Linked DNA regions of Macaca fascicularis. The protein of the gene in region 1 purifies or fractionates together with the protein of each later gene. This does not show direct contact. Links are inferred from orthologs where the notes say so. Each region holds a gene or a part of one and is shown in the gene's direction. Other genes may lie near its edges. The genes, in order: CPVL and CAPZB.

Region 1 (15,093 bases):
CCCAACACAGTCTCTTGGGCTTATTCCATGGAAGCAACAACATGTAAGAAAAAGCATTTTACATTGCTAATATGGCATTACGTGAAGTAATAAGTAAGTACTAGGTTTCACTTCCTTGAAAAGGACAATATCCAGCCAGTACTGAGGATGCAGAAGGCAATAATGGGGCCTGATAAAATCCAGGAACTGGGCCTCCGATGAGAAAAGAATTGTATAAGGTTATCACCCAAGTGCTTCTGTGATTCATATTGCCCTATAAGTTGTCAATAAATAACAAATCACCATGTCATAGTCTTTTGGTTATTATCGTTTCTGAATCCAATGGCCTCAACATTCACCTCTTTCTTGACAGTTACTTGACACTTTAAAGATACCTTCCACCTTCCCATTTTGTTGCACTTGAGGATGGTAACAGAAGTTCAAGGAGAACTGTTTCCTTTTCTTAGAAACTGTCATGTTCCTGCATCTTATTTGCATGCATTTCACCCCAATTAAATGTGCTGAAAATTCCAAAAGCTAACTTTATTTTCTAAAAACCAGTGCAATTGCTTTGCCCCGATGTGGGCTTTTTGTAGAAGTAAAAATCCTTCTAGCTAGCTGCTGATGGCCAGCTTGGTAGAAAAGCTCTTTTAAATTACATGGCTTGTATATGCCACTAGCAACCTCAGTCCACACATTCAGTTTTCCTTACGATGTCTTTAAAGGAGATACAACGGTAAGATCCAAACGTTTTTTGGACATGGGCACTTTTTCCTCTTTGAGGGTGAAATCAGAACTCACTGTGGATTTATTTGAAAAAGAAATTGAGTTGCCATTAGGGAAACAAGAAATCACTTTTTAAATAAAGCTTGAATCATACCTCAGGACTAGAGAGTTTATAAACATTTTTAATTACCCTCCCCAATATCATCCTCTAGCTGTCATTTCACAGTTTCCCTCAAGGTCATAAAGAAATTACTTTTTTAAAAAGTCAATTTGCAAAATTAGTGAAAGATAACCTAAACAGCACAAGAAGCACACACAGCAATGGGAGAGCACTGGATCAGATTTTCTCTTTTTAGCTTGTTGATTTTACATTAGTTTTGTCTCTGTCTTAGAGAATTTCCTGTAAAAAAATGATAAAAATGTTTTGTATCTGTGTAGTCCCATATGGCAGCCACTGGCCATGTGTGCTATTGAGCACTAGAAGGGTGCCTAGGGTTATTTAGGAACTGAATATTTTTACATTTAAATTTAAATAGCCACATGTGACTAGTAGTTACCATACTGGACAACACAGCTATACACAGTTAGGGCAGACCTAGGCCACTTAAATCTTTGTGCCTTTATGGGCACAACAGCCTGGAGATCTGAGGTCCATTTAAAACATAAAGCACTTTATGACTTCTTTTTTGAAAGTATTAAGTAATTAAATAGAGCAGCCTCTATGAGGCCAGAAAGAAAAAAAAAAAGTCTACAAGAAATTCTCTAAGGATGATGCTACTCTTTAGGATGAGCCAGGAAGTGGGTGCGGGGAGCATTAATGTCACAGGAGCTTGGGTCCTAGATGACAGTTCCAGCTCTAGCTCTGCTGTCAAGTAACTGAGTGGCATGAGATCGTTTCTGAGTTCCTGGGGCTCTGATTTTCTTATACAATGTGGAATCTGTTAAACAACTACCAAGGTTCCTCCTTGTTCTCAATCTAGTCAGTCCAGCTCTTATTTCCTAGGACATTAAAATATTGGTTGATTGAAAATAATACTTTACACTGCACTACAAATAGGCTGAGGTTGAGTGATTTTGACAGGCCAAATTGTTGAAGCAAGGGAATGCTACAATTAGTTCATACTATACAGACTAGATTCAGATTAGTCTCACAAAGGTGTATGATTAATTATAAATGAGGAGAAAGGCAGGTTATTTGCACAAGCAGCTAGTGGCTGGCTCTCCCAGAAAGCACAGCTGAAAGGTCTGTGGCCAGTGGATGATATACTCATCCCAATTCTTCAGCTTCAGGTCCCAGAGAGCCACCTAGGTCCCATTGCAGAGCACACTACCTATAGGGCCGGCCCATCTCTAACTGCCATTTCCTCTAGCCATGGAGACTTTAAATAAACCTCTGCATTTATTTGTAGCTTGGAGACACATCGTTGTGTTCTGTCACACCAACTAGCCTGCACCAGAGACACAGGTATCCATCTTGACCCCCTAACCTGAATCCATGTGAGAGACAGAATACCAGCTTCCTTCCCCATGGGCCAAAGGGAAGGAAAAGCAGGAAGGTGCCTAGAGGATTTGCAAACTATGAACAGTAAAGAAAATCAAATGTGGGATTGATGAAAACATCTCTAAATAGAAATCTGACCAACAACAGATGAGAGAAGAAAAAGAGACAAAATAAGGAAGGAAGGAAGGAAGGAAGGAAGGAAGGAAGGAAGGAAGGAAGGAAGGAAGGAAGGAAGGAAGGAAGGAAGGAAGGAAGGAAGGAAAGGGGAGGAGGGAGGGGGAGGGAGGGAGGGAGGAAGGAGGGGAAGGAAGGGAGGAAGGAGGGGAAGGAAGGAAGGAAGGAAGGAAGGAAGGAAGGAAGGAAGGGGAAGAAGGTGGGTAGAGGGAGCGGGGAGGGAAGGTAGGGAGGGAAGAAAAGAGGGAGAGGGGAGGGGAAGAATGGAGAAAGAAAGGAAAGAAAGTAGAGAGGGAGGGAGGGGGAAAAAGCCATTTTGTTTTGAAAATTAAATGACATATTTCAGAAGCCATGAAATGAGAATACATACATTCATAAAAGATAAATGATCGGTGGGTGATAGGGGATGCTATTAATCATATGTCTGTCTATCACTAGGTTCATGTCTTTTTGTCTGCATTTGCCTTGACCGGAATCTTGATCTTCTGGCAGAAAACTCTTCCAAAGCATTTCTATGTGACACCGCTCATGTATAGGTGTTCCAAACCAAATGTCCACTTATTTTCACCATTGTGCAAAAATGGGAGACCCTGCCCAGCAGCAGATGGCCCTCAGCAGGGCTGACACTCAGGCCAGGCCCCAAGTGGCAGCTCTCAGAACATACTGTCCAGCTAAACCCTGCACAGACTGGCCATGGAAAATACCTGGTGTTCACATTCCCCCAAAAGTTAGGCAAATGACAGGGTCACCCAGTGCACTTCATGGCATTAGTGGGGAGAACCAGCGTTTCAGCACAAGTTCACAAATCGTTGGGTCCCCCTTGTCAAACACTGCAAATATGTAGCATGCTAAGAAAAATCTCCTTACCTCTCAGACTCTATCACTCGGTTCATCTGAGTTGCTACAGTGGAGAATAAAATCTAGTAAGTTAAAATGAGGTGTGGAATGCTCAGGAGAAAAACAACAAGGACTAGTACTCCTCATCTGAGTGAATAATTTCTCTCACAGAGTTAATTTTAGCTTTGCAAGTGTTTTATTTGAGATCATATTTTAAATCGGAATTTGTGCATGTGTGATTTAAAATAAAAAAGGCAATCAAGTCTTTCTGCCAATCTAGGCGATGTGAAATTTAATTATTGAGCAGTTATCATTAAAACAATGCAAAGCAATTTTTTACACATAATTGAATATTCCAGAAGAAAATTTCTGAAAAATCCAAAAGTCCAAAAGAAAACTTCTCAGTGAGAATGTCTGTTTCAATAAAATACCCTGTTTTGTAGTATTGGATGCAGAGAATTTCTAGTTAGACATACATAAGTCTTGCCAGAATTACTATAGTTCAGTTTTGCCGTCTGCATCTAGGAATACGGAAGACTTACCTATGTTACTGGTTATGAATCCCCAATAATGAGTAATGAAAATTCCTATTTATTGTTTCTACATCAACAACAGTGTGACAGCAGAAAACAGCATGATTTACCTGGCCCACATTACTGTTGTATAGAATCTAAAGAAATGAATACCTCAATCCATTCAGGAATGTTCTTTTCCCAATTAAGGTTTTGAGGACTGCACCTAATACTGACTTTTTACCTTTTTCTGTTTGCATTTTAATTTTAAAAGTCTGTGTCAATTTTATTTTGATAATACAGTGTGTTTATGTTTCCAGATCTTAACTTCTTATCCTTGGGGTTCCTTTAATATTTAATGTTTTACCTTTTTCAGTTACTGAGAACATCTCATATCTTCTTTATTTATTGACTTGCTTGGGTTGATTTTTTTCTTGACTCTGAAATTATCCATTTGGCAATCATATTGCTAATATGCAAAAAGTTCTTATTTCAATTATAAAAGCAAACATAACCCATGATTATTAAGAAGACTGTTTTGCAAATTGGCTGTTGTTTATTTCAGAATATAATAAAGTACCACAGGCTAAATTAGAAGCTTAAGGATAAGAACTTTTCTTTTTTGCAATTTAAAATAATAAAGGTAATCAAAGCTTCCTGCCAATCCAGGTGATTGTGAAATTTAATTACCAGTGGTTATCATTAAAACAAAGGTAAAGCAATTTCTTTTACACATAATTGAATATTCCAGAAGAAAATTCGTGAAGAGTTCTCAGAAAATGTATTTTAAAATTAATTGTAATCTGATTATTTCATTTGTTATGTCTCAGTTGGTACCGTAAAATAAATGACACATTTGGGTGACGTAGCTCAACAGCAGCTAGTGAGAGCAAATTCTCAGGAAAATCAGGTAACTTTGACCTAATGCTGAGCAAATTATTAGATCTTAACTCTGCAAACACAAACATACTTAAATCTCCCGCTGCTATTCCTCTATGAGAGGTATAACCCATGTTGACTTCACCTCTGTCTATGCTGGACACTACAGAATCAACTGTTCCTTTTTCAGTGCTCAATTGCCCAAATGTCCTACGGCTTCCAGAGCTGTTCCATCAAACCCACTGCTACCTGAACAGAAAGAAAACCTCCTACATCAGCAGCAGCAATGAGTGAGCTGGCAGCTCTGTGCACGATGCTGCTTATGGGCCTGTAAGCATAACTTTCCTAAGTGCAAAAGGATCAACGGCCCCAAGAAAGAAAGTCAAAATAAGGCCATGAACTTACCCATCTCCAGGCCTTTGCCTAAGTTCTTCTCTCTTCCTGAAACGTCTTTTTCTCCATCTGTCTTCTGGAAAAATTCGACTCAGCTTTCAAGGCCCAACTCGTATGACATTCCCACTGACCCCTCTAATTTGACTAAGTCAATCCCTCTCCTCTGCACCCTCCTCCACAGAATTTGTTTTATCAAACTGGAGTAGAGGTTGCTATTTGCATGTTTGTCTCGGCTGCTGGATCATAAGGGAAAAGGATCTTGACTCATCCTTCCATGCCAAACACTCGGGACTATGCCTGAAACCTGAAAGACACTCGCATGTTTATTTAATGAAGCCCAAAATTCAAGATCAAATTTAACATATGATGAAAGAAGTGGATTGTATGTGTGTTGGATTCATGTCTGCACCTAAATTCTGAGCCCATGAATGCCTTCTTTTTCATTCCTCGAAGAAGTAAAATTTATTCACATTAAGCATTTATTAAATGCTGGGCCCTGTGCTAAATACTCTACATACATTATGTCATTCAATCCCCAAGACACTCTATGAAGTAGGTCTTATCATCAGTATCAGCCTCATTTACAAATGAGGAAATTGAGGCTTGGAGAAGTTAAGTAACGCACTTCAAGATACCTGGCTGGTTGGTGATGAAGCCAGAATTAAAAGACAATACTCCCAGAACTTCAGAGCCAGAAGGAAGCCTATAATTATCTTTCCCCCTTAGCCTTCTTGAAGCTGAGGTTTGTAACTTACTGCCTGGCACATAGTAGGCCCTTGAAAATAGTGATTAATAGACTGATGGAGTGCCCTAATTTCTCAGGTTCTGGCCTTCGCCTGAGAGAGCCCAGCTGCCACCACAAATAGGCTCTATTCTTTCTGCCCAACACCTCTCACAGGTGTGAATTGCTTGTGTCATCTGAATTATTCATGATCCACACAATGGTAAGTGTGCTTAAAAAGAGAACTACAATGCTGTATTTTTCAAGACAAAGTGCCTGATTAATTGGGGAATTAGGCAGTATAAACTCATGGGCTAGGTTGATTCATGCCAAACAATACATCCATGCCCACTTTTTGAATTTCAGTTTTTACATAATTTCCCAGTTTCCCTTAGGATTAAAAATACGGGTAAATAAAGCAGGAAAAAGAACCATCATGGGCATCTCTATCCTATCTGAAAGCAATTAACATCATCTAAATCTCATACTGTGTTGTTTCAAACCAATGTATTCTTCCGAAGGCTGTTAGGATTTTCAATCAGGCTTCTTAAGCTACATCAAGATCTGGAAATTCAGATGCCACAGCAGCTGTAATTCATGCCACCAGTAAATCATGTGACACCACCACCTCCTTGTCCTTTCTCCTTTCGTCTTTTCTTTTGCCCCACCAGTTCATTTTCTAGTGGGCAGTTTTCTGAGAGGAATAACCATATGCTAATAGAAAGCCAACACCACTGTATTTTCAATTCAATGTTAGTCAACCAAAATGAATTGAAAAACAGCAGCAGTGGTTTGAGGGTACTAAAAATAAACTGTAGCATTTGCTGAGTTCTCAGAATTAAAACCACGGCGGTCAACTTGTTGCTGCTCTTAATAAGATATGACTTCTGCCTCATTGGCTGCTACTACTAGAAACTTGAACTATGTCACACACCTAACAACGACATGTTTTCGATTAGTTGGCAGTGATCGAGAAAGGAAGTGCCATTTCCCAGGAACTAAACCTGCCAAGAAAGATAACAGATGGCTTTCAAGTGATCACCTTGTACCACATCACAATTGCACCTTAGTCAAATTCACCTTGCATTTATGATTTAGTGAGTTACACATCGAAAGCTGTGGTTGCCTTTATGCCCTGCTTGCTCTCCAATGCCTCCAAAAAGGTGTTTATTCCTTTGAGTTTAATTTGTGAATAATAATAAAAACAGCCCAATGGGACTTAATACAATATTAATATATTGAACACTTCCATTAGGACTTCATGACCTTCTTGACCCTTAAATACCGTATACTACACTAAATGTCTTATCAGCTGTCCTTTTGGGTTTGTCATTAAAGTTTTCAATGACCAGAGAGGTAGAGGAATTCTATCTAATGCATCATTCTGATTAGAAACCTGTCATACTCAGAAACCAGTGGGTCTGCTTCTATTGATTCCTACTCCTTCAGATTCATTAGCAATTTTTTTCTCTTCAATTAGACCCGAGGATCAACCATAGAAAAGCTGAAAGAAGCCTTCCCTTTGCTCAACCTTACTTAAAAGGAATAAAAAAATGTATGCCTTGCTGGTGAAATTACAGACAGTATTATTAGAAAATGTCTAAGGAGTCTCTCTCTCTCTCTCTCTCTCTCTCTCTCTGTCTCTCTCTCTCTCTCTCACACACACACACACACACACACACACACACACACACACAACTTGTAAATATGCCAAGAGTCAGAGGCTGGGCTCGACCTCCCTTCCCCTAACCCACTTCAATCAGGATCAGAAAGACACATCCCTTCATCGCTGCTGTCTCAAACCCATGCCCAAGCGAGTGTCTCCACAGAGCTAATTTCTGAAACAAACAAAGAAAATCAAGTCTGCGAGGAACGAGGGTTTGCTCCCCTCTGCTCCGGATTTGGGTGTCCAGGGTAGCGGACGAGGCACGGCAAACAGGTCCGGGCGCTCAGCTTGACCCCAACCTTCTCCGCCCCGCCAGCCCCCGCTCCAGCTGCGCCAGAAAGTGCGAGCCTGCCCGCTCCTTTCGCTTTTCGCCCGCTGCACCCCAAGCCCGAGAACACCCGCGTCCGCACACTAAGGGCACCACCGCTCTCCCACCTCTGCGCTGTCAGATGTCAGGCGCGGAGGTGCTCTGGGCACCGAGGTGCTAGCGAACCAAACAAGTGTCACCCCAGACGCCTGCCCCCACTCCAAGAGAGCGGGCGGGACGGCCACAGGTAGGCTCTGTCCATCCCAGGGTGCGGAGCGAGGGCAGGGGGCGAGACCCGGCGCGGCAGCCGCGCCCGACGGGCTGAAACTCACCGGAGGACACCGAAGAGCCGGACAGGCTGGAGTTGCTGGACGCTGCCATCTCCGCGCGCCCCTCGCGTCGCTGCTCGCTCAGCCCCGGTGCGGGCGCCGCAGCCGCTGCCCTCGCCCGGCCGCTCGCAGCCTCCGCGGCCCCCAGCCCATGGCAAAGTCCTGGGGACGCGCAGAAAGCACCAGCCTCCGGACTCTGCCTGCACTTCCTGCTCCACCAGATGACGCGCTGCCGCCGCCGCTATTTATTTGTGGTTTCCGTCCCGCTCCGCGCGTTTGCACGCTTTTCTCCGGGTGTCAGGGGGTAGGTGGGAGCAGAGGGAGGCCGAGGGGCGGCCGGGACGGGCGGATCTCGGCTCCCGCCGAGCCCCTCTGCCGGCCGCGCTACCCTGTGCGCGACTAGGACCAGGGCGTCCCGGCGGCCCCGAGCCGCCCCGCCAGCTCCCGCACCCTCTCCTGGGCTCCCGCCTCTCCGGCCGCACTTCGAGTAGCCCGGGCAGAGGCGGCGGTAGACGGACAGACAGAGCGACCTCCCCCTCTCCCTCCGCCCCAACTCCGCTCGCGCACACACAAAGGAAGGAGAGGAGACGCGGGCGCACGGGGGCTGGTTCGGCTACCGCGGGCTTGACAGCTCCCGCCAGTGGGGCTGGAGGGGGAGGCTGTGAACTGCTGGACACGGGGAGGCGAGACCGGGGACCGGGTCCCCGGGGTGCTGGGGAGGCCGGCGCGGGGCGCGGGGCGAGCGCGGCTGCGGCGCGCAGCGCTGCTCGTAGGGTTTGAAGGGGATGGGGAGGGAGGGTGTGGGGGAAGGTGGTGGGGCTCGCCGCGCCCCGCTGGGCTCTGGAGCAGCGAGACAGTGGGGGTGGGGGATCCAGAGGGCGAAGGCGGGATCACTAGGGCCACGGTGCTAGGCAGAAGGGAACCTGGGATGACAGAGCCACTGTGGAGCGCTCCTTCCACTCCCCTCCAAATTATCCTTTGTTGCTCTGGAACTGACGGCCCCTGCCCTGCAAGAAGGTGCGTTTCCTAAAACACCCGGGAAGCCAACCCAGCTACACTTAAGTAACCCAGCCACGGACAGCGCCCGACGCGTCCATGGGCCTCTGAGGTTGGCCTTCAAAGAAATAGAGCCGTCCAAACGTGTCATCAGGCCCACACAAAGCCGGGTGTCAAAGAGAAAAAGGTTCTCCTACTGTGCCTTGCAAAAAAGATTCTCACAAAAGACTTGACTTAGCAGCAAGTCCGACTGTGCCCTTTCAGGATAGGAAATGCTCAGGTGTGTGACAGAAAGAGACTCGAGGACAAGGTGTGCCCCTTCCCCCTGTATTTAAACCTAAATTAATTTCACTGGGAGGAAATATCATGCAGATTTTTTTTAAATCTGTTTCACGCTCCCAGCGGGCTAATCTGTTCTTTCAATCCTAAAGCAACAGAAAACTGTGAAATTTGAAGAGAAATTGTTAGATCAAAGGGAAAAGCAAGCATTAAAGGAATGAAAATACTCTCATTATATAGCAAAAATGGAAAGTGTTCACATTGGGGTAGTTCAACTTTTTAAAACATGGTTAAAAGAACATAGTCAATTTAAAAATTATCAGGAGTGACACAGAACAGCAGCTAGGCCCTGGGGATTCACATCAACCAAGCACCTAACATACAGTGAATAATGAATGTTAAATAATCACAGTACGCACCCACGTCACATTTTCTAGTTGATTAGAACTTAAAAAAAAAAAGTCCCTCCAGGATGCTATCCCAGTGTGTCTTCCCATTAAGGTCCATTTTTTAAAAATACAGCTTGCTAAACTGTTAAAGGCGTGTCAGCACTCTTCAGTCATGTCGGACTGTGTCTTCCTGACCCTCAACTGTATGGACCTTGAAACAGCCCTGGCTGGTCTAAGGAGACCCAAGCACCCCCGCTTTCCCAGCCCCCTACCACTATCCTTCTTTATTTTGTGGACTGCATGAAATCATGCATTTCCTAATCTGGAGGCTTCAGGGACACGTGACCCATCACACACTTGGCTTGTGGATTAGATCAGAAGGAACTTACTGTTTCCCCAGAGTTCTTCTAGTAGAAAACAGCACTTACTTGTTTGACTAGTAATTTATGTATCCCTCCAGGTCTTTAGATGGTGGACTATCTGACTTGGCTATGTTGCCTGGTCGAATTTTTACCATCTGGGCTTCGAAGACAACTGGGTTCAAACTCTGGCTCTGTTACTTAGCTGCAACCTTGAGCAAATTACTTAGACCTACTGAGCCTCAGTTTCTTCACCTTCCTCAAAAATCTGATAACACAGGATGCTGTGAAGATTAAATAAGACGCTATGTGGAAAGCTGCAGTGTACCTGGCATGACGTTTGTGTTCCAAAGTGATTGTAAGTTGCTCACTTTAAGGAAGGAATGTATAGTTTGAACAATTTTTGCTTTCTTCATTGCATCTGGAGATAACTAATCAACTGTGACCTGTTCTACTAGGGGGAAATGTCTTATCTTCAACCTATAGCTTATATTTCTTGTCCCAAATTGTGCAATAGGGTAGCAGGTTTCATTATTCATCTCGAAATTTCACAAAAGGACAACAGATTCTGTTTCTGCAGTTTGGATACTCATATTTGCCTTCATAGAGTTTTAACTGGAGAAAGTAAAGCATGACTCTGTGAGGCAGATTATTTTTATTGTCCTAAATTGACAGACGAAGGGACAGGGGAGTATTTGCTGTGAAGGCACCACCTGAAGGCCACCCTGTGCTGTACAGAAGTAGAAAAAAGCTGAGACTCATGTTTTCCTGGATCCTGGGGCCAGAGGAGGGATACAAGGCCAACAAACATGCTTGCTGAACAGAGATGTGCTGATCGGGGAGGTCCAGTCTGTCGGTAGGAGATGAGCTATTACTTTGACATCCATTATTTTGAACACCAAACAGAAAGCTCCAGGTTCAGAACTAAAATCTGAAAGTTGATTGATCATCTGGATTGATAAAGCCATAACCAATGGAGAAAACTCAATATGAATAATAATTCACTATCATCCTTCTTAGATTCGGGAGCCTAAAGGCTGGCTGCTCCTTGCAAAAATGTCTAGTATCAGTAAGTTATCAGGACATGCTGGAAATAAAATGCTAATGTCCCTCTTTGGTAGGCTCAGGCACCTGTTTGTGGACCTTCTAAAGTATTTCTCCAAATGAAACAATGAAAAAGTTATCATCTATTTTATTCATTTATGTATTGCCTTAATTCTAGGTAATACCTATTTGTCAGTGGAAAGGAGAAATCTTAGGTGTTTGGAAAGTAGAATTTTTAAAGACATTTCCACCTTTTGTCTCCAAATATTAAAAGACTTATGGGATAAAAGGAGTCTTGTGGATAATGTGGCCTTCTTAAGAATAGAAATTATCGTTTTGTTTTAACTTAGCTTTCATCTGGCATTCAAAGCCTTCCAAACTTACCATTCCAATCTAATCTCTGTTCCCCCCTTTCACAAATGCAACCCTCTTTCACAGTGGCCTATGCCCTTGGGGCTAGCAGCACTGGATTCTGCCATTCCTTCCTGCTTCCCATCCTTTTAGTATGCTTCCCATACTAAAAGAGTTCAACTAGAATGCACCTTCTCTGGAAAGTCTTCCCTGATTCCCAAGGCAGAAAATAGCTCTTCTTCTGTTAGATTTCTCTAGCCCATCTACTGTACCTCTCAATGTGCAGATCTCGTGCTCTCATTTTAATGGTACTTTTGGTATATATTTCATTTCCTTAGTCCATTAATAGTGGACTTGGCATGGTGGCTCATGCCTATAATCCCAGTGACTCAGTAAGTTGAGGTGGGAGGATCCCTTCCCTTGAGGCCAGGAGTTTGAGACCATCCTGAGCAACATGAGACCTCATCTCTAAAAACATAAAAAATAAATTAGCCAGGCGTTGTAGTAAACCTGTAGTCCTAGCTACTTGGGAGGCTGAGCGGGGAGAATTACTTGAGTCCAGGAGTGCAAGGATGCAGTGAGCTATGATGACGCCACTGCACCCCAGCCTGGGAGACAGAGTGAGGCCCTGTCTCAAAAAAAAAAAAAAAAAAAAAAAAAAAAGCATGGTGGGAGCAGGATCCTTGTTTGCCCAGCCCCTGTATTGTCTACCATACTTTGCATACAATAGGTGCTCAGTGGATGTTGTTCAATAGTTTACTCTTGAATAAATGAGCAAATTAAGGACATCTGTAAATGGTTCTCTTGTATGCCAGTACTTTCCACATTAGTAGCTGTGACTACTGAGCTACAAGACATTGAGTAACACATTGGCAGCAAAAAAAGAACTTGATGGTCATTTAAGGATACTACCTTTGCTGTGAACAAAAAAGACTGAAACGGTGAAACATAAGAATAAAATTTTGATGGAGTAAATATTTGCAATCCCCACCCCACCCTCCATCACCGGCTGTTACAACTCACATGATTTATTGTTTGCAGGGTAGCTCTTACTGTGGTGTAATTTGTTTATTTTGTTTCACCATTCTTTTGAAGTTTAAAAGCAGACAAGAAAGCACTGCAGGGTGAGTGTGGCTGTGCTCCCTCACTGCAGGCACTCTGGGGTGTTGCTTAGTGAAGGTCATTCCCTTTCCCTGTGCTAAACACGGAATGAAATACCGTATTCCTTACTTTCAAGATTAATCTAGTGGTCGGCATTCACAGGAGAATAGCGGGGCTATTCGTCAACTAGCTTTAAATATTTTATGGCAAATACTCAACCATACCCTGAAAGTGGTCCTTTTGCCATCAATTTCTCAACATCAATATGCTCTTTTGCTGTAGTGAGAAATATTTCGCTCTGTAGTTTAAGCCTTATTTCAAATACAAAGACACCTAGTCCTGAGAAAGAGAACGCATTGGCTCTTCTGAGGCAGGCGTCACTAGGGGCAGGAGCTGAGAAACCCGCTGTTTCCTTAGGAGGTGCACAGACGGCCCAGGATGGCTTAGTGAGCAGGCAGCTCAGACGCCGCAGGTAGCGGCCCTGCCTCTGAACAAAGAGGAGTCCACACCTGGAGTGCAGACAAAGGGAGGCCGCCTCTGCTACCCAATTCCCAGTTCACATCGCCTGCTGCTGGGGACCCCTAGTGGCGGCACACGACGCAGGCACAGGTATTCCTGCATCGTCTTTCTCACGGAGCTGCAGCGGGGCTCAGGGGTATTGCCTGGAGTATCCTATTTGGCCACTTAGCTTGGGCGGATCAGATCGGCACATGCAGACACTTAAGGCATGCCATCAGCTACAGTCTCTTTGACTGGAAAGACAGAGAGGGAGAAGGGGAGTGTGGGGGGGAAGGGCAGAGAGAGAGAGAGAGAGAAGAAAGAGAGAGTTTTTCTTTCTGTTTGAAGAGAAAAACAGGATAGCATTCAGAAACTAATTGAATATGTTTTCTTCTGCATGTTGCACTCTCTGGCTTTGTTCCCTGACATTTTAGATTACAAACATCTTTTCTGTCCTCAATGTCCTAAGAGAAATCTAGGATAAACTGAAGCGAAGCCAGCTGTAAGCCTGCTCTGGGCAAAAGCACGGAGTGAGTTTGTTTTTCTTGTCTTCTGGGGGGGTGGGGGGTTCCTAGGCCTTATACTCTTTTTCTATGAAAATTTGCTTTCATAACGGTATATATTTATTCTCGGCTACCTGTCCGTTTATTCAAGCATTCATTAATTCACTCAGTCATGTTGACTAAGCACTCATTATGTGCCAGGGAGTATAGGAGGCTGGGGAATAAAGATATGAGGGAAACTGGCTGGGCGCGGTGGCTCATGCCTGTAATCCCAGCACTTTGGGAGGCTGAGGTGGGCAGATCATTTGAGGTCAGGAGTTCAAGACCAGCCTGGCCAACATGATGAAACCCCATCTCTACTAAAAATATAAAAATTAGCCAGGCATGATGGTGTGCGCCTGTAATCTCAGCTACTGGGGAGGCTGAGAATCGCTTGAACCTGGGAGGCGGAGGTTGCAATGAGCTGAGATTGCGCCACTGCACTCCAGCCTGGTGACAGAGCAAGACTCTATCTCAAAAAAAAAAAAAAAAAAAGACATGAGGGAAAACTATACCCTTGCTGTGAGGGATCCTACAAAACAACCTCGACTCCTTCCTGTGACATTTACATTTCAGCTGGGACAAAGTTTTAAAATAGCTATAGAAATTATTTCTGTTTGGGAATTATAGGTATTGTCCATGCTGGTGACGACTTTCTTTTCAGCAGTTTTGTTGTTGTTGCTTTTAACAAAACGTCCAAAATCAAGCCTCAAAGCCTATTTCTAGACAGTTCCTTTTTTCTCATCCACAGTTTTAGCTTGTCAGCCCAGGGAACAGAGCAGATACTGTACTCTGAATGTCCTCTGCCTTCACTCCCCAAGAAAATCTGAATCAATATTTTCATTTCTTTCCCTGTAGCAGCTATACGTTCAATAACAAAACAGAAATCCTCTTAAAAAAAAAAAAGGGAGAGTAAATGGGCATTGAAGGAAAGCTAACAGACACAATATCTGAGCCAATCTTCTGATACAGAAAACGTATTTTGGTCTTTTACAAATATTCCAGATTGTCTGTAAAACAGAGCAAGTAAAAATGATTCCAGCAAAGTTTAATATGTACGTATGGAGTCAAAAAGACCTGGGCTTCAATCCTAGCTCGTCATTTATTAGCTGTGTGACCCTGAGCAAATTATTTAATCTTTCATTCTTGATCTCTGAAATGGGTTAATAACCCCTATTTACAGACTTGGTGATGATCGAATGAAGTGATAGATGTAATCCAGTGTCTAAAGCATAGAAGTCCAGTTAGGAATTCTAGGTGGCCTTTGTTCCTTAGAGCAAAGTATAGCGTGCTCACATCTGCTTCTCTGGAGTAATCTGTGAGAATTATGGTCTGATGCAAAAGTAATTTTCATCTCTCCCTATCACCTCCATGTTACATCACCTCTATGCAAGTATATTAAGTCATATGAGCCAGGCCTGGGCTTTGAAGATAAATCTGAGTTCAAATCCTAATTTAGCTACAGACAGTTTGGTGACTTTGGACAAATAATCTTTCATATTCTCAGTCT
Region 2 (14,994 bases), on another chromosome or scaffold:
GAGAATAAATCCATCCACGTATTATGTGTGACTTTAGGCAAGTCATTTCATCTAAGCCCCAACTTCTTCTATAAATTGGTCATAATAAAAGTTCTGGCCAGGCATGATGGCTCACACCTAAAATCCCAGCACTTTGGGAGGCTGAGGTGGGGGGATCGCTTGAGCCCAGGAGTTTGAGACCAGCCTGGGCAACATGGCAAAACCCCGTCTCTACAAAAAACATAAAAATTAGCCAGTGGTGGTGGCTCACACCTGTGGTACTAGCTACATGGGAGGCTGAGTTGGGAGGATTGCTTGAGCCTGGGAGGTGGAGGTTGCAGTAAGTCGAGACTGTGCCATTGCATTCCAACCCAAGACCCTGTCTCCAAAAAAAAGTTCCTAGCTCAAAGGATGGTTAGGAGGAGTCTATAACACATGAAAAGTATTTAGCGCATAGCAAGCACTCATGAAAAACTAGCTGTATTACTCGTTCTTTGTCTGTTTATTCACAAGACAATCTTATCCTGTTGATACTATTATCTTCGTTCACATACCTTCATTGAGCACTGATTATGTTCTGGGTGCTGAACACCTAGGTCCATAACGACCAAAAGAGGACTCAGATGCAGAAGAACAAGGTCCCAGAACTAAGCCTTCAGGAAAAGGAAGAACCATCAAAGGAAACTGAGGGGAAACCTTTCCACCTTGCCTCCACTCAGGAAATGCTTATGGGCACCTACTATGTGTAATTGCCATGCTATGTGCTGGGATGTGGTAGCCTTACTCATCTCAGGCAAGCCAAGAGAGGTACATGAAGGAGGAGAAGGCAGGAGTAAGATGAGGCTCCAAAGTGAGCACTGGCTTCTGCAACACCGAGTTCCCAGGCCAGCTTGAGTAGAGCAATGTCGCTTCCTGGGCAGGTCAGGGCAGAGGTCTGATCAGACTGACTTGAGGAGAAAATGGAGCAGGTGTAGAATCAACAACTGCAAAGAATTTACAAGGTTTTGGTGTGACTGGGAGCAGAAAAATGGGGGAAGTGGCTAGAGGGAGACGCAGGATCCAGGAGTTTTGAGTGGTGGTTCTTAAAACTTTTATTTTATGATAGGAGCTATTAGGGCATGTTTTCTGAAGAAGATGGGAATGATCCAGTACTGAGGGAGAAACTGGTGACTAAGGAAAGAAGGATTCAGAGAACAAGTGGAGGGGTGACTCTGATAGGAACAAAAACGCTTCATTTATTATAAAATCTGGGGAGGCAGAGATTGCAGGGAAAGTGCAGATATGTTGGTAGATGATAATCTCCTGTCTGGGGAGAGGGGAAGGAAACTCAGTGGTAGGGAAGAAATCAGTGAGAAGTCAGTAAGATTTCTGGTGGATTATGCTTACGGGTACTGAAGTCCTAAAAAGTGTGGAAGGGGAGATGGAGGTAAGTTCATGAGAGCGAAAAAAGGGGTGGCAGGTTGAAAAATATGACAGTATGAATTTCAAGGGGGTTAGGGTCTTTAAAAGAGGATGAGAGGAGAAACAGTGCTAAAGATATTTATGGTCTGGATGTTGTGGCTAACACCTGATATCCAAACACTTGAGAGGCCGAGGCAGGAGGATCACCGACCAACATGATGAGATCCTGTCCCTATTTAAATTATTTCTGTGAAGTGTGAGGCAAAGCCATTTGCTTAGAGAGAAGGATGCCAAGAGGACAAAGGAAGCTTAAGGAGGAAGAAGGTTGAAAAATCATAATTTAAGAATGTGAGCAGTGGTGGGCTACAGCGGGGAAATACAGTAGAATTGCTAGGCAGGCTTGAAGGCTCGTTTGAAATTTGTGGACCTCACCTTAAAGGAAGAGAAATCACTTTCAACTTTCCAGCAATATTCAGATGGTTTTTTTTGGTTGTTGTTTTGTTGTTTGAGACAGAGTTTCACTCTGTCACCTCAGCTGGAGTGCAGTGGCGTGATATTGGCTCACTGCAACCTCTGCCTCTTGGGTTCAAGCGATTCTCCTGTCTCAGCTTCCTGAGTAGCTGAGATTACAGGCGCCCACCACCATGCCTGGATAATTTTGTATTTTTAGTAAAGATGTTTTTTCCCCATATTGGCCAGGCTGGTCTCAAACTCTTGGCCTCAAGTGATCTGCCCATCTCAGCCTCTCAAAGTGCTGGGATTACAGACATGAGCCACCTTGCCCAGCCAATGTTCAGATGTTCTGATGCAAAAAAGGTGGGGGTAAAGGGGTTATGGGCTTTCGTAAGGGAGTTTGTATAATACTCATTACTAAGCTGGGTCAGGAGGGATGTGAGCATGAGGGGGAAAATGAATGTGAACATCTGGCAGGGACAAAGGTTTGCAGACCTTGATGAGGCTGAAGAAATAGTGAGGTTGAGGAAATGCTTTTGTGGTGATACTATGGTAAGTGGGTTACAGTCAGATTTGAGATCTTTTGTGACTGTGATTTCTTTTCTCTTCTCTTCTCTTCTTTTCTTTTTTGGAGACTGGGTCTCACTCTGTTGCCCAGTGGCGCAAACACAGCTTACTGCAGCCTCAACCTCCTGGGCTGAAGAGGTTCTCCCACCTCAGCCTTCCGAGTAGCTGGGACCACAGGTACGTGCCACCATGCCTGGCTAATTTTAAAACAATCTTTATGGAAATGGGGTCTTGCCACGTTGCCCAGGCTGGTCTCAAACTCCTGGGCTCAGCCTCCCAAAGTGTTAGCACTAGAGATAGGAGCCACCATGCCTAGCCAGTGTGATTGGGATTTCTGAGATAGTGCAGTTAAAGGTGAGAACAGGCCAGGGTAAGACCACAGGAGTGGGACCTGGGGAGAGGGGAAGGAAACTCAGTCGTACGGAAGAGATCAGTGAGAAGTCAGTAAGATTTCTGGTGGATTATGCTTACGGGTACTGAAGTCCTAAAGAAAGTGTGGAAGGGGAGATGGAGGTAAGTTCATGAGAGCAATAAAAGGGGTGGCAGGTTGAAAAATATGACAGTATGAACTTCAAGGGGGTTAGGGTCTTTAAAAGAGGATGAGAGGAGAAACAGTGCTAAAGATATTTATGGTCTGGATGTTGTGGCTAACACCTGATACCCAAACACTTGGAAGGCCACGGCAGGAGGATCACCAACCAACATGGTCAGTTCCTGTCCCTATTTAAATTATAAAGTTATTATTATTATTTGGATACGAGGGTCTCCCTCTGTTGTCCAGGTTGGAATGCAGGGTGCAATCACGGCTCACTGCAGCCTCAATCTCCTGGGCTGAAGGAATCTTCCTGCCTCAGCCTCCTGTGTAGCTGGGACCAGGGGCACGTGCCACCATGCCTATTTGATTTTTTTTATAGAGACAGGGGTCTCACTTTGTCACCTGCACTGGTCTTGAACTCCTAGGTTTAAGCAATACTCTCACTTAGGCTTCCAAAGTGCTGGGATTACAGGAATGCCTGGCCAAAAATGCCTGGTTACCATCCCTGGCCCAAAAAATTTAAAATAAAAAAAATTTACAGTGCCTGTCTACCAATTCACAACCCCTTGTAGATGACCATGTTTAACGCCACGTGCCTCCATGCTCATAGCAATAGCTGACGGATCTAGGGGCAGGATCTGAGCAATGGGCAGCCAATCTGTGGAGTGATCTGTCCAATGAATGAACTTTCCTTCATGCTTGGCCTCCATCCCTTGGCATCCAAGAGGGACACCACCTTTTCTTGGTCCTGTTCCTGCCACACGGGTCATTCCTTCTCAGTCTTCCTGCTGGTTCCTCTTTATCTTCATGACCTCTTCTCTCTACATTCACCCATGAAGTGAGTTCATCAAGATGTCTATGCTTTCAAATATCTTTAAATGCCATTTACTAGCCAGCAGTTCTCGTAAGTTTATCACAGCTCTGACTTCTTCCCCCAAATCCAGACTTCCATATCTAATTACTTACTTGACATCTCCATTTATTTATTTTTATTTTTATTTTTTGAGATGGAGTATCATTCTGTCACCCAGCCTGGAGTGCAGTGGCGCAATCTCTGCTCACTGCATCCTCCACCTCTGGGTTCAAGCAATTCTCCTGCCTCAGCCTCCTCAGTAGCTGGGATTACAGGCATGTGCCACCAAGCCCAGCTAATTTTGGTATTTTTAGTAGAGACAGGGTTTCACCATGTTGACCAGGCTGGTTTCAAACTCCCGACCTCAAGCGATCTACCCGCCTCCCCAAAGTGCTAGAATTATAGGTGTGAGCCACCACGCCCACCTGACATCTCCATTTAAATCTCCAGTAGGAGGCTGGGCGCAGTGGCTCATGTCTCTAATCCCAGAACTTTGGGAGGCCAAGGCGGGGTCAGGAGTTCGAGACCAGCCTGGCCAACATGGTAAAACCCTGTCTCTGTTAAAAGTTCAAAAATCGGCTGGGTGTGGTGGCGCACGCCTGTAGTCCCAGCTACTTGGGAGGCTGAGGTGGGAGAATTGCTTGAATCCAGGAGATGGAGGCTGCAGTGAGCCAAGACTGTACCACTGCACTCCAGCCTGGGCGACAGAGTGAGACTCCATCCCCAAAAAAAAAAAAACACACACACACAAAACTCCAATAGGCATCTCAAACATAACTTGCTCCCTCTTATCCACAACCCTCCCCTCAGAAAAACCCTGCTCCTCCTACGGTCTTCCCGAGATCAATAAATGGCAAATCCATGCAGTGTTAAGCCAAAAATCTTAGCATCAGGCAAAACTATGGAGTAAAAAGATCAGTGGTTGCCAGGAGCTAGGGGGCAGGGGGATGAAGAGGTGGAACACAGGGGATTTTTAGGGCAGTGAAAATATTCCATATGATGGTTCTAATGGTGGCTAGATGTAATTATCCGCTTGTCCAAACTCATAGAGTGTATAACAGAGTGAACCCTAATGTAAACTATTGGGTGATCATGATGTATGAATGCAGTTAATTAATTGCAACAGATGTACCACTCTAGTGGGGAATGGGGACAATTCGGGGGGGCTCTGCATATGTAGGGCAGGGATATGTGGATTATCTCTATATCTTCCTCTCAATTTTGTTGTGAACCTAAAACTGCTCTAAAAAACAAAGTCTTGGCTGGGTGCAGTTGCTCATGCCTGTAATCCCAGCACTTTAGGAGGCTGAGGTGGGAGAACTGCTTAAGCCCTGGAGTTCGAGACTAGCCTGGGTAACAGTGCAACTCAGTCTCTACAAAAAAATCAGCCGGGCAGGGTGATGCATGCCTGTAGTCCCAGCTACTCAGGGGGCTGAGGTGGGAGGATCACCTGAGCCTGGGGGTCTTGAGGCTGCAGTGAGCTATGATTGCACCACTGCACTCCAGTCTGGGCAACAGAACTGAGACACTGTCTCAAAACAAACAAACAAAAAGACAAAGTCTTTTTATAAGAAGAAAAAAAATCTTAACATCATCCTTGATTCCTTTCTTCTCATGCCTACCACCAATACATCAGGAAATATCTAGAATACTATCTACTTCTTGCCATCTCCAATGCTACTACCCTGGTCCAAGCCAGCTTCATCTCTCTGCTGTGTGACCTTGGGGCAAGGTCCTTACCTTTTCAGGCTTCTGTCATGATTAAATGACTTATTATCTGTAAGGTGCTTAACAGTGTTCATCACATAGGATGCGCCATATCAGTGCTTTTTATATAAATAAATATCCTCAATATAGAAATGTCTTTCTAAGGCCCTAGTCCCCCTACAGTCCATTCAGGACACAGCAGCCTCATGATCCTTTTAAAGCCTAGGTCAGATCTTGCCATGGCTCTGCCCTTCAGCTCCTGCTGGACTTAGGCTAGCCACACTGGCCTCCTGTCTGTCCCTTGAAAACACACCAGTGCTGATCCAGCACAGTCCCACCTTCAGGGTTTTTACCCTTGCTGCTCCTCGTGCCTCTGCTGTCCACATGGCTTGCTCCCTCCTTCCCTTCAGCTATATGATCAAATACTGCTAAGTTAGGCCTTGCCTGCTTACCTATTTGCTTGCTTGAATTTTTCTCATTATCTCTAATCACTACCCGACACTGTGTTACTATTATTATTTTATTTTTGAGACAGAGTCTCACTCTGTCTCCCAGGCTGGAGTGCAGTGGCGCGATCTCGGCTCACTGCAAGCTCCACCTCCCCGGTTCAAGCCATTCTCCTGCCTCAGCCTCCCCAGTAGCTGGGACTACAGGCGCCCACCACCACCCCCATCTAAATTTTTGTATTTTTAGTAGAGACAGGGTTTCACCCTGTTAGCCAGGATGGTCTCGATCTCCCGACCTCGTGATCCGCCCACATTGGCCTCCCAAAGTACTGGGATTATAGGCGTGAGCCACTGTGCCTGGCCTCGGACACTGTATTTGCCTGGTGGCCGACTGTCTCCCTGACAACACTCAAGCTCGGGTTGTTTTGCTCATTGCTGTATTTCCAGAGCCTAGCACAGTGCTTGGCACATAGCAGATGCTCAATAAATACTTACTACTTGTGCCATTCTCTTCTGTGAATTCCTGTAATACTCATCCAATACCGTTCTTGCGAGACTTACCCGTATGCTTTTTCTGCCAGTGGCTACCTGTGAAAGGTTTTACTTGTCTATGAGCTCCCTGAGGACAGGGCCTGGCTCAGGGAAACATTCCTGTCATCCGTACTGTTTACCATCCCCTCACAGATCGCCTAATTTGATTTAACCAAAGCAAACAGGCCACGGAGGGCAGATATTATTAGCAATCCAGGTTTCCTGCCACCTAGACTAAGCTCAACAAATATTTGATTGAGAGAGAGAGAGAGAGGAGAGAGAGAGAGAGAGAGAGATTGGGAGAGAGAAACTTGAGTCATCTTGTGGAGAGAGGAAGCCCGTCTGGGCAAATGGAATGGTTCTCTGCAGCACATCCAACAGTACTCATAACAGTTAGCATTTGTTGAACTTAATTTTCTTTTTCTTTTCTGTTTTTTTTTTTTTTTTTTTTGAGACCGAGTCTCGCTCTGTCACCCAGGCTAGAGTGCAGTGGCCGGATCTCAGCTCACTGCAAGCTCTGCCTCCCGGGTTTAGCCATTCTCCTGCCTCAGCCTCCCGAGTAGCTGGGACTACAGGCGCCCGCCACTTCGCCCGGCTAGTTTTTTGTATTTTTTAGTAGAGACGGGGTTTCACCGTGTTAGCCAGGATGGTCTCGATCTCCTGACCTCGTGATCCGCCGGTCTCGGCCTCCCAAAGTGCTGTTTTTTTGATACAGAGTCTTGCTCTGTCGCCAGGCTGGGGTGCCGTGGCGCGATTTCGACTCACTGCAACCTCTGTCCCCCGGGTTCAAGCGATTCTCCTGCCTCAGCCTCCCGGGTAGCTGGGGCTACAGGTCGGCACCACCAGGCCCAGCTAATTTTTGTATTTGTAGTAGAAACGGGGTTTTACCACGTTGGCCAGGATGGTCTCCATCTCTTGGCCTTGGCCCACCTCGGCCTCCCAAAGTGCCTCGCCTCCATAGCAGGCGTGAGTCACCGCGCCGGGCCTGTTGAACTTAATTTTCTAATCTCTACCTGTGTCATCCTCACAGCTATTCTGTCTGCAGCTATACGTGCAGGGATCTTTATGTCTTATTATTCATCTGTTATCTTCCGGTGCCTAAACAAGGCCTGGTACATAGTAGGTGCTGAATAAATGGTGTCAGCCCGAGGCTCCTGAATTCCTGCCCGGGCTCAGGTGCAGCGCGGCGCTCCAGGTCCCGCCGTAGCGAGCGGCAGCGCTGGGCTCCGGCCCAGCTCCCGGCGCGCTCGCCCCGTACTGGGATGGGCTGGGCTGGGCTGGGCCCGGCCGGGCCGGGCCGCGCTCCGCTCGGCGGCAGTTCCGGGTGCGCCGCAGGAGTGAGCGCGTGCACGGGGTGGGGCGCAGACGGCAGGTCGCCTCACAGCCCCGGTGCCTTCCGCATCCCCGCCCGCGGGGACTGTGGGGCGCGGTTCCCTCGCCGACACCCGCTGCTGCAGGCCCAGAGTCGGGTACTGGACCTCCAACAGCGCGGACACCCCTCCGGCCCGAGCCCCGTACCCCGGGCCCGGAACCCCCGGCAGGCGAGCCGCGCCGCTCCCCGCCCCGCCGCGCAGACCCCGCCCCCGCACCCCGTCGGCGCCCGCCTCCCGCGCCGCTCTCCATACTTGGCGATCGCCGCAGTCCCGCGCGCTCATTGGCCGCGAGCTGGCGGCGTGGGGGGCGGGCCCGGGCCGGGCCGGGGCGGGGAAGGAAGGTGGCGGCGGCCCGGCGCGGGGGGAGGGGGGCGCTGACCCGGATGTTCACTCCTGGGCACCCGGGGAAGTGGAAGCGCCGGGCCCTGCTGCGGGGGGGAGAGCCACTGACGCCGGGACCGGGACCGCCGCCGCCGCCGCCACCATGGTAAAGGCCGCACGGCCCCCTCCCCGGCCCGGGGGCCCCTCCGGAACTCGCGTCCCCCTCCCCCGGCCCATCCGTGGCCCGGGACTGGTGGCTTCCCGGGGTGGGGGAGGGGCGGGGTCCCGGACCCTGGGTGGACCCGGTCCCTCCCCGCCCAGGAGGGTGCCGCCGGCGCGGACGACTTGGGTGGCAGTGACCCTGCCCCCGCTCCCAGCCCTCGCCCTTGGCACAAGCTGGAGTCCCACTCACCACCTCTGTGTCCAGGCTGGTCTCTCCCATAGCCCAGGCTAGACCCTCCCTCCCGAACCGTGGCCCCAGCCAGGCACCCCCCCCCCCGCGGTGACCCTGGCGTGGGCCCCCTTCCTCCCCCGGTCTAGGGCTAGGTCTGCTTTCCCCCGTCTCTCCCGCCCAGGCTAGGCCGTCGTTTCTCCCTGCCATGGCCCAGGCTAGGCCGCTGCCTCCCTCCCTCCCTTGCCTTCTCCATGGCCTCAGGCTGGACCCCGGTCAGCCCTTCCTGCAGCGGTCTAGGTTTGCTTCCCCTCTTCTCCGTGGCCTCAGCCTGAATCTCCTCATCCCTCTGTGATCTTAAATCTGGACCTCCTCTCCTCCGCCCATGGCCCCGCCTGGACCTCACTGCCCCCTCCCCACCGTGATCCCCTTCCCTGGACTTCTCGCCACTCCTAGCGTAACCTGCGTCAGCCCCGCTCGGTCTCCGCCCTGACCCTCTCATCAGGGTTCTGCCCCCTGCCCCGTGCACGACCCAGGGTACCCTTCCCTCTACCTGGGGCGCGCCTTCTTTGCAGCCTTCGGGAAGCGAGGGGAACTCTCCAGCAGGGATGGGGTGGTCCCGGTGCTGTGCCTTCTCAGTTGCCCCTTCTAGGGAGGCCGCTTGGGAGCCAGCGAGGGAAAGGCGGGCATCGGTGTGCCCAGAAGGCAGCGCGCTGCGCTGCGGGCCCTTCTCGAGGTCGCCGCCGTGGGTGCTGTGCTTGCGAAGCGTCCTGCAGGGCGGGCCGGGGTCCGCGGCGCCCAGGCCTGAGTGGGAGCTGAGGGCTGAGGGTGGGTGGCCCACAGGACAAGGATGAACGCACAATCGCCCTTGTGAGGCCATGGCCTTGGGGGGCCAGCAGGCCCAGGATCCAGCATATGGCCTGGACACCATGCACCCGAGCAGGCGCAGCCTCCCCTTCCCTCTGAACTGTCAGCTTGTAAGGGTGGGAACTGCTGATTATGGAAGTCCCTTGGATCAGGTGAGCAGAACTCCGAGGGAGAGTGCTGGCTCCACTCGTAGTGTTTGATTTGGTAAAGAAAGCAGATGCTATCCAGACTTTTGAGGAACCTGGGGCTTCACATAGGCCCCCACAGATAGACCTGCACTCCTACCTCTTGATCATTCCGCAGGACAGGCCCAGCACTTAGGTTGGAAGGGCCAGAGAACTTCCTGACAGGGTCAAGGGATTTTTGGAGCATATTTGTATGTGGGCTTTGGGCCTCAAAGTGTTTTGAGGACCCTGGTTCCTTGTTTAGTCAAGGGATGTTGCTGCTGAACGAGGGTGAGGAGTTGAGATGAGTTAAGCTTTCTTTTGATACCTTCCTGTATGCTGATTAAAAACAGGGGCAATGCCACTTTTAAGGCCTTCGGATTTCTCCAGTGACGTTGGCTGAAAACTCCTTGTTTGGGGAGGCCTTGTTTTGACCCCAGGTCTGGGTGGAGCACGACTTCTCCAGGGCAGTGTTGGGTGAGGACTTTGAAAGTGGGCTGAAGTTTCGTTACTGAGTGTGCACTGAAGACAAAGTATGCGGCAGGAAGCGGTGATGCTCCCCAGGTGATGGGAAAGTGCCCCAGTCCCCCAGGAGGAGCACATGACACCTGAAGCTTCTCAGGAGTCTTGCACTCAGCTGTCATCTGAAAAGACTGGAAAGGGTGGAGGAACTGTCTGTCTGCCAGTCACTGTGGTGTGCTTCACCTGTACAAGCTGGTTTCATCCACACGAAGCCCTTCTGGGGCTGTCCGCATTTGATAGATGAGGCAGCTGAGGCTCAGGAGGTGCAGTGACTTATTCAAGGTATTGCCCAGCCAGTGGAGGAACCACCGTTGGTCAGTAGAAGCCCATCTGGCAGCCTCTAAACTGTTATTCCCATTGTACCAAGCTGCTTATATGTCAGGAGGTTTAATGACACCGTTTGAAAAACATAGAATGGGATATTCAAACATGGCAAGGGGGGAGGAGCAGTATTTATTGCCCATGGTTTGTATTTTAAATCCTTTGTATAGAAAATCATGTTATAGCGAAAGAGCTGTATGGTGGTACAGGCATATTTAGCATGGGCCAGAATGAGCTCTTGGAGGGCAGAGATTTTTGTCTTGTGTATTCCACAGCTGTATCCGTGGGGCCTAGAACAGCACCTGGCATTGGAAGAAACCACTTGGAATGTTCTCTTTGGGATGTGTCTGTGTCCATGAACTTACCTGCTTGGATTTCATATTCATTCTCTCAGTCACTTGTTCTTCGTATCCCTTAGGCTTGTAATTTCTGACTGCTTATTGTTAGGTTTATCCCCTATTTGAATACTCTGACCATTAAGCCAGTGTAGATGGTTGGGGTAGGACAGAAGTGGTGGTGTGAGGTTGCATTGAAGGGAAATGAAATCAGATCACCGTGTTTTTCATTTTCAGTAGATTCGATGGTAAAGAATACAGCTAGATCTCTGTTACCCATTGAGGGAAATAGTGGCTTGAGAATCTAAAAAGCATTTGACTTTGGAGTGAATGCCATGATTTTTGTTGGCATGAGTTTCTCCTTCTCAGTTAAAATGCATAGGCAGATGGAATTTATTTGCATTCCCTTAGCAGGTAATAATCTTACCACTGCTTGAGTGCTGTACAATTTCAGAGCACCGTTCCTTTCGCAGCTCCAGCTTCTGACTTGGGAATTATTCTTAGTTATGATGATGGTGAGGCTTTTAGCAGGAAGGTGGACTAGGGAGGCCCCTTCAGGAATCGCTGCTCCAGCTCACAGATGGTTTTGCCTGGCAGGAGCTGATGGGAACTTGGTATTGTTACAAGGTGAAACAACATAGTTGACATTAATGTCTCTTGGTGTGGATAAGATACATTGTTCAACTCACATCCCTCTTGTCTGTCTATACAGCCCTGTTCATTTGAGCCCACCTGGCCTCTTTTTGGTGGCATGCTTATAAAAAGTAGCCAGCGATCAATGGCTTGAGATTAAGGAAATGATAAGCCATGCCTTTGAAAGCAGATACTCCTATTTATAACTCAGACGTCCTATACTTTTACATTCCATTCCATGAGTCGAGGAACAGGACATATGACTGACCACAGGGAAATGGTGGCAGGGCAGGTGCCTCACCCATTAGAAGCCTGCCCTCAAGGCTGGGAAAGGCTTATTGTTAGGCAAATACTGAGGCACGTTGTGGGGTACCTGAAGCTACAGGGTCATGTTAATTCAGCTTTTTGTGTATCAAGTGCCTGCTCTGTGCTGTTTATGTGTGGAGGATGCAAGACAGACAAGGATCTCTGCCTTCACGGCTCACATTGTTGAGGGGTGAGCATGTCACTGTTACCTAAAGTTTAAGGGGGAAAGAGCCTTGTTCGTGTAACAGCAGGCACATCTGCTTGAGCTATGGCAGGAAACTGAAGAGAAAGTTGGGGCTGGTGCCAGGCTCCACTCCAAGGCCTTTTGGGGTGTGCCTGCTCTTGTGTCTGCCATTGGCTGGAATTGCATTGCACATGCACGCAGTCCGCTCGCTCCTTTGCACAGCCAAGGCTTTCTGGGGTCCCAAAATGAAACCTTACAGTACCGTGGAAGTCCAGCCTCTCCAGTCTGGGTCGCTTTGTCCAGCACGTCCAACCTGGGTCGCTGAGGGACCTGACCCAGAAACATGACTTAGGTTATAGCCCAGCCCCCATTTTACTCACAAGAGTGAGAGCTTGAGTGACCGGTGTGAGCAGCAGGCCTGGGATTCGGATCCACGTCAGCCTGACTCACTGTGTTGGACCCCACTCACTGTGTTTTCCAGAAGCAGTGAGCAGAGGGTCCCATAAATACAGGATCTTGTCCCATTTCCCCTTGTAGCAGATCCACCAGTGAGGGTGCAGTGTGGAATTCCAGGGGGTGCAACTGCAAGATCACCCACAATGGGACCAGCTAGAGCCATGCCATTTCCAGACCTAGGCTTTCAGAGATTCACGTCTCAGTGGAAGGAAGGGGAGGCTTAATGGTTATGGAGCATCAGCCATGTGCTATGCACTCTGTTAGAACTGTCCTCACCACAGCCTGACAATGTAGGTTCAACTTTAGGCTGGAGGCAGCATAGTGCAAGAAAATAGAGTGAGGAGCCAGACTGCCTTAGGATAACGGTACCTCTGCATAAGGTTGTAATGAGGGTTAAGTAGTATCTGTCAAGTGCATCCAGTAGCATCTGGCACATGATGTTGTTATAAACATTAACTATCGTTATTATCGCCATTTTCCAAAAGTGTGCAAAGGGGTTTATGGTGAGTCCCTGTCTAGCTACTACGTGGAGGAATTGGGTTTTCTGACCCCAGAGCAAACCATTTTTCTCCACTCCGGACTGCCTGCTGGTGGCTGCTTTGGAGTTTGCCTGGCTCTGGGCTGTGCCTTGAATGGACAACTTCCCTAATAGAGCCTGGGGCTGTTTTCTCCACTGAAGACAAGCTGGCTGTGAGCGGGGCACCATGTGTTGCCAGAGCCCCATGCTACACGTCAGGCCCGAATGCCTTGTCTGTGCCAGTGGAACCCCCTGTGACTGGAGGGTGCTTGCCCTATTCCAGGCTTGGAAGAAGAGAGACAGGGCTGGGGACAGAGCGTATGAGCTCTGTGAGAGCAGGGACCTTGTCTGTTTGCTTCCCTCTGAGTACCCCACACCTTGCGCTGGCCACCTGGCACTTAGTGAACACCAGCTACGTAAACGCTGAGTGAGAGCTGAGAGGCGGCTCCCTGCTCCACAGAACATGGTGTCTGCAGTTGGGCACATCTGGAGTTGAGTCCTGTCTGCCACTCAGCATGTGACTGCCAGTGAGGCTGCTAATTCCCTCGGTGTCTGTTTTCCTGGTCCGTAGCATGAAGATAACGTTTTATAGGGATGGGGGGTAGGGGTGAAATTTGTAATGTACTTACTCCAGTGCTTGGCACACAGTAGCTATGGTTGTTGCTTGTCTTATTCTGCATACCACAGAGTAAGGGACACAAATAGAAGCCATCGTCCCTGTCCTCTAATCCAGGATGGGGAGGCAGGATGTGTCCAAAAAGCCAAGTGCAGCAGGAAGGAAGTAGTACTAGAAAAGACTTAATCAGGGACCCATGGGTGCTGTGGTCTGCCCATCCCTGCAGGCCTGGCTTGCATTTCCCCCTCCTCCATGCAGCCCTGCAGACCACTCCAGCCCACGGTCGGCTTGGGGGCTGGGTAAGGAAGCCTGGGAAGAGCGTGCTCAGGCAGAGAGAATGGGGTGGGGTATGGTCAAGGGGACTGGCACAAAAACTGAGGTCGGGGGTGTGGTCAGACAAGGAGTAGATGTGAGCCCATGGGGTGCCTCAGTCTCAGGAGTGAGTTGTAGAGTGCCTGAGTTGCTAAGCTAAGGAGTTTGCATTTGATCTGGGACAGTGTGGAGCCAGTGAAATTTTTGACAGGGCAGGTAGAAATTCGAGGAGGCTGGCAGGGCAGTGGTATTTTAGGAAGAGTCCTCTGGCTGTGCGTGCAGCAGGCCTGGGGGGTGAGAGAGACGGGAGAGAGGCCTTCACAAGCATCAGCCTGTGAGCTTATGAGGGTCGTGGCCACTGTGCCGCTGTGGGCGTGGAAAGGAAGGGATGGTGGAAGGAGATAAAGGCAGAGGGAGACGGAATGATTTACCACCTCTGGGGCTGAGGGGGTCTGCCCCAGAGCTGTCTCATGTAGGCGTTCTGATTGGACAGTTTATCATTGATACACAGCTATTTCAGGTCAGTTTAAATCCTAGATAGTGGTGTCTGCAAAGCCTTGAGATCCTATTAACAACTGAATGGGGATTTCGGTCTGGTTAGCCCAGTGATCCATCCAGCCAGCGACTCCGTGACTGCAGGTGGCACCAAGTTCAGCCTGATGCACACAGCGTTAGGTTCTGGTGCCTAAGACATCAGTCTGCTGAGGGAGATGGGGGGGTGGTGGGCTGTGTGTGGCAGCTGTAGGAATAACAGGAGCTAGTTTTTGTTTGTTTGTTTGTTTGTTTGAGACAGAGTCTCACTCTGTTGCCCAGGCTGGAGTACAGTGGCATGATCTCGGTTCACTGCAACCTCCATCTCCCAGACTCAAGGAATTCTCCTGCCTCAGCCTCCCAAGTAGCTGGAACTATAGGTGCGCGCCACTGTGCCCGGCTACTTTTTGTATTTTTAGTAGAGATGGGGTTTCACTGTGTTGGCCAGGCTGGTCTCGAACGCCTGGCCTCATGATCTGCCTGCCTCGGCCTCCCAAAGTGCTGGGGATTACAGGCATGAACCACTGTACCTGGCCAGGAGCTAGTTTTGACTGATGACTTTTTAATATTCCAGCCAGCCCTATGAGGCATATTCTCATGTCATCCTCATTATGCAGGTGAGGAAACCAAGGCCCACCTGGCAGTCCTGGCACTGGGCTCTGCTGCCTGCAGG

Evidence for each region.
Region 2: the proteins of CPVL (region 1) and CAPZB purify together in Homo sapiens (affinity purification with mass spectrometry; 3 studies listed by BioGRID and IntAct, with this or other methods). This does not show direct contact. The link is inferred for Macaca fascicularis from reciprocal best matches to the Homo sapiens genes CPVL and CAPZB.

Annotation. Positions count from the first base shown.
Region 1 is NC_088377.1:101,071,605-101,086,697, forward strand, and holds the start of CPVL (probable serine carboxypeptidase CPVL), read left to right. Parts: upstream 1-7,469; 5' UTR 7,470-7,661; intron 7,662-7,751; exon of another isoform or gene 7,752-7,942; intron 7,943-8,027; exon of another isoform or gene 8,028-8,243; intron 8,244-12,965; exon of another isoform or gene 12,966-13,152; intron 13,153-13,475; exon of another isoform or gene 13,476-13,571; intron 13,572-15,093. UniProt on the Homo sapiens protein: May be involved in the digestion of phagocytosed particles in the lysosome, participation in an inflammatory protease cascade, and trimming of peptides for antigen presentation.
Region 2 is NC_088375.1:215,592,221-215,607,214, forward strand, and holds the start of CAPZB (F-actin-capping protein subunit beta), read left to right. Parts: upstream 1-8,230; 5' UTR 8,231-8,329; coding exon of another isoform or gene 8,330-8,332; intron 8,333-14,994. UniProt on the Homo sapiens protein: F-actin-capping proteins bind in a Ca(2+)-independent manner to the fast growing ends of actin filaments (barbed end) thereby blocking the exchange of subunits at these ends.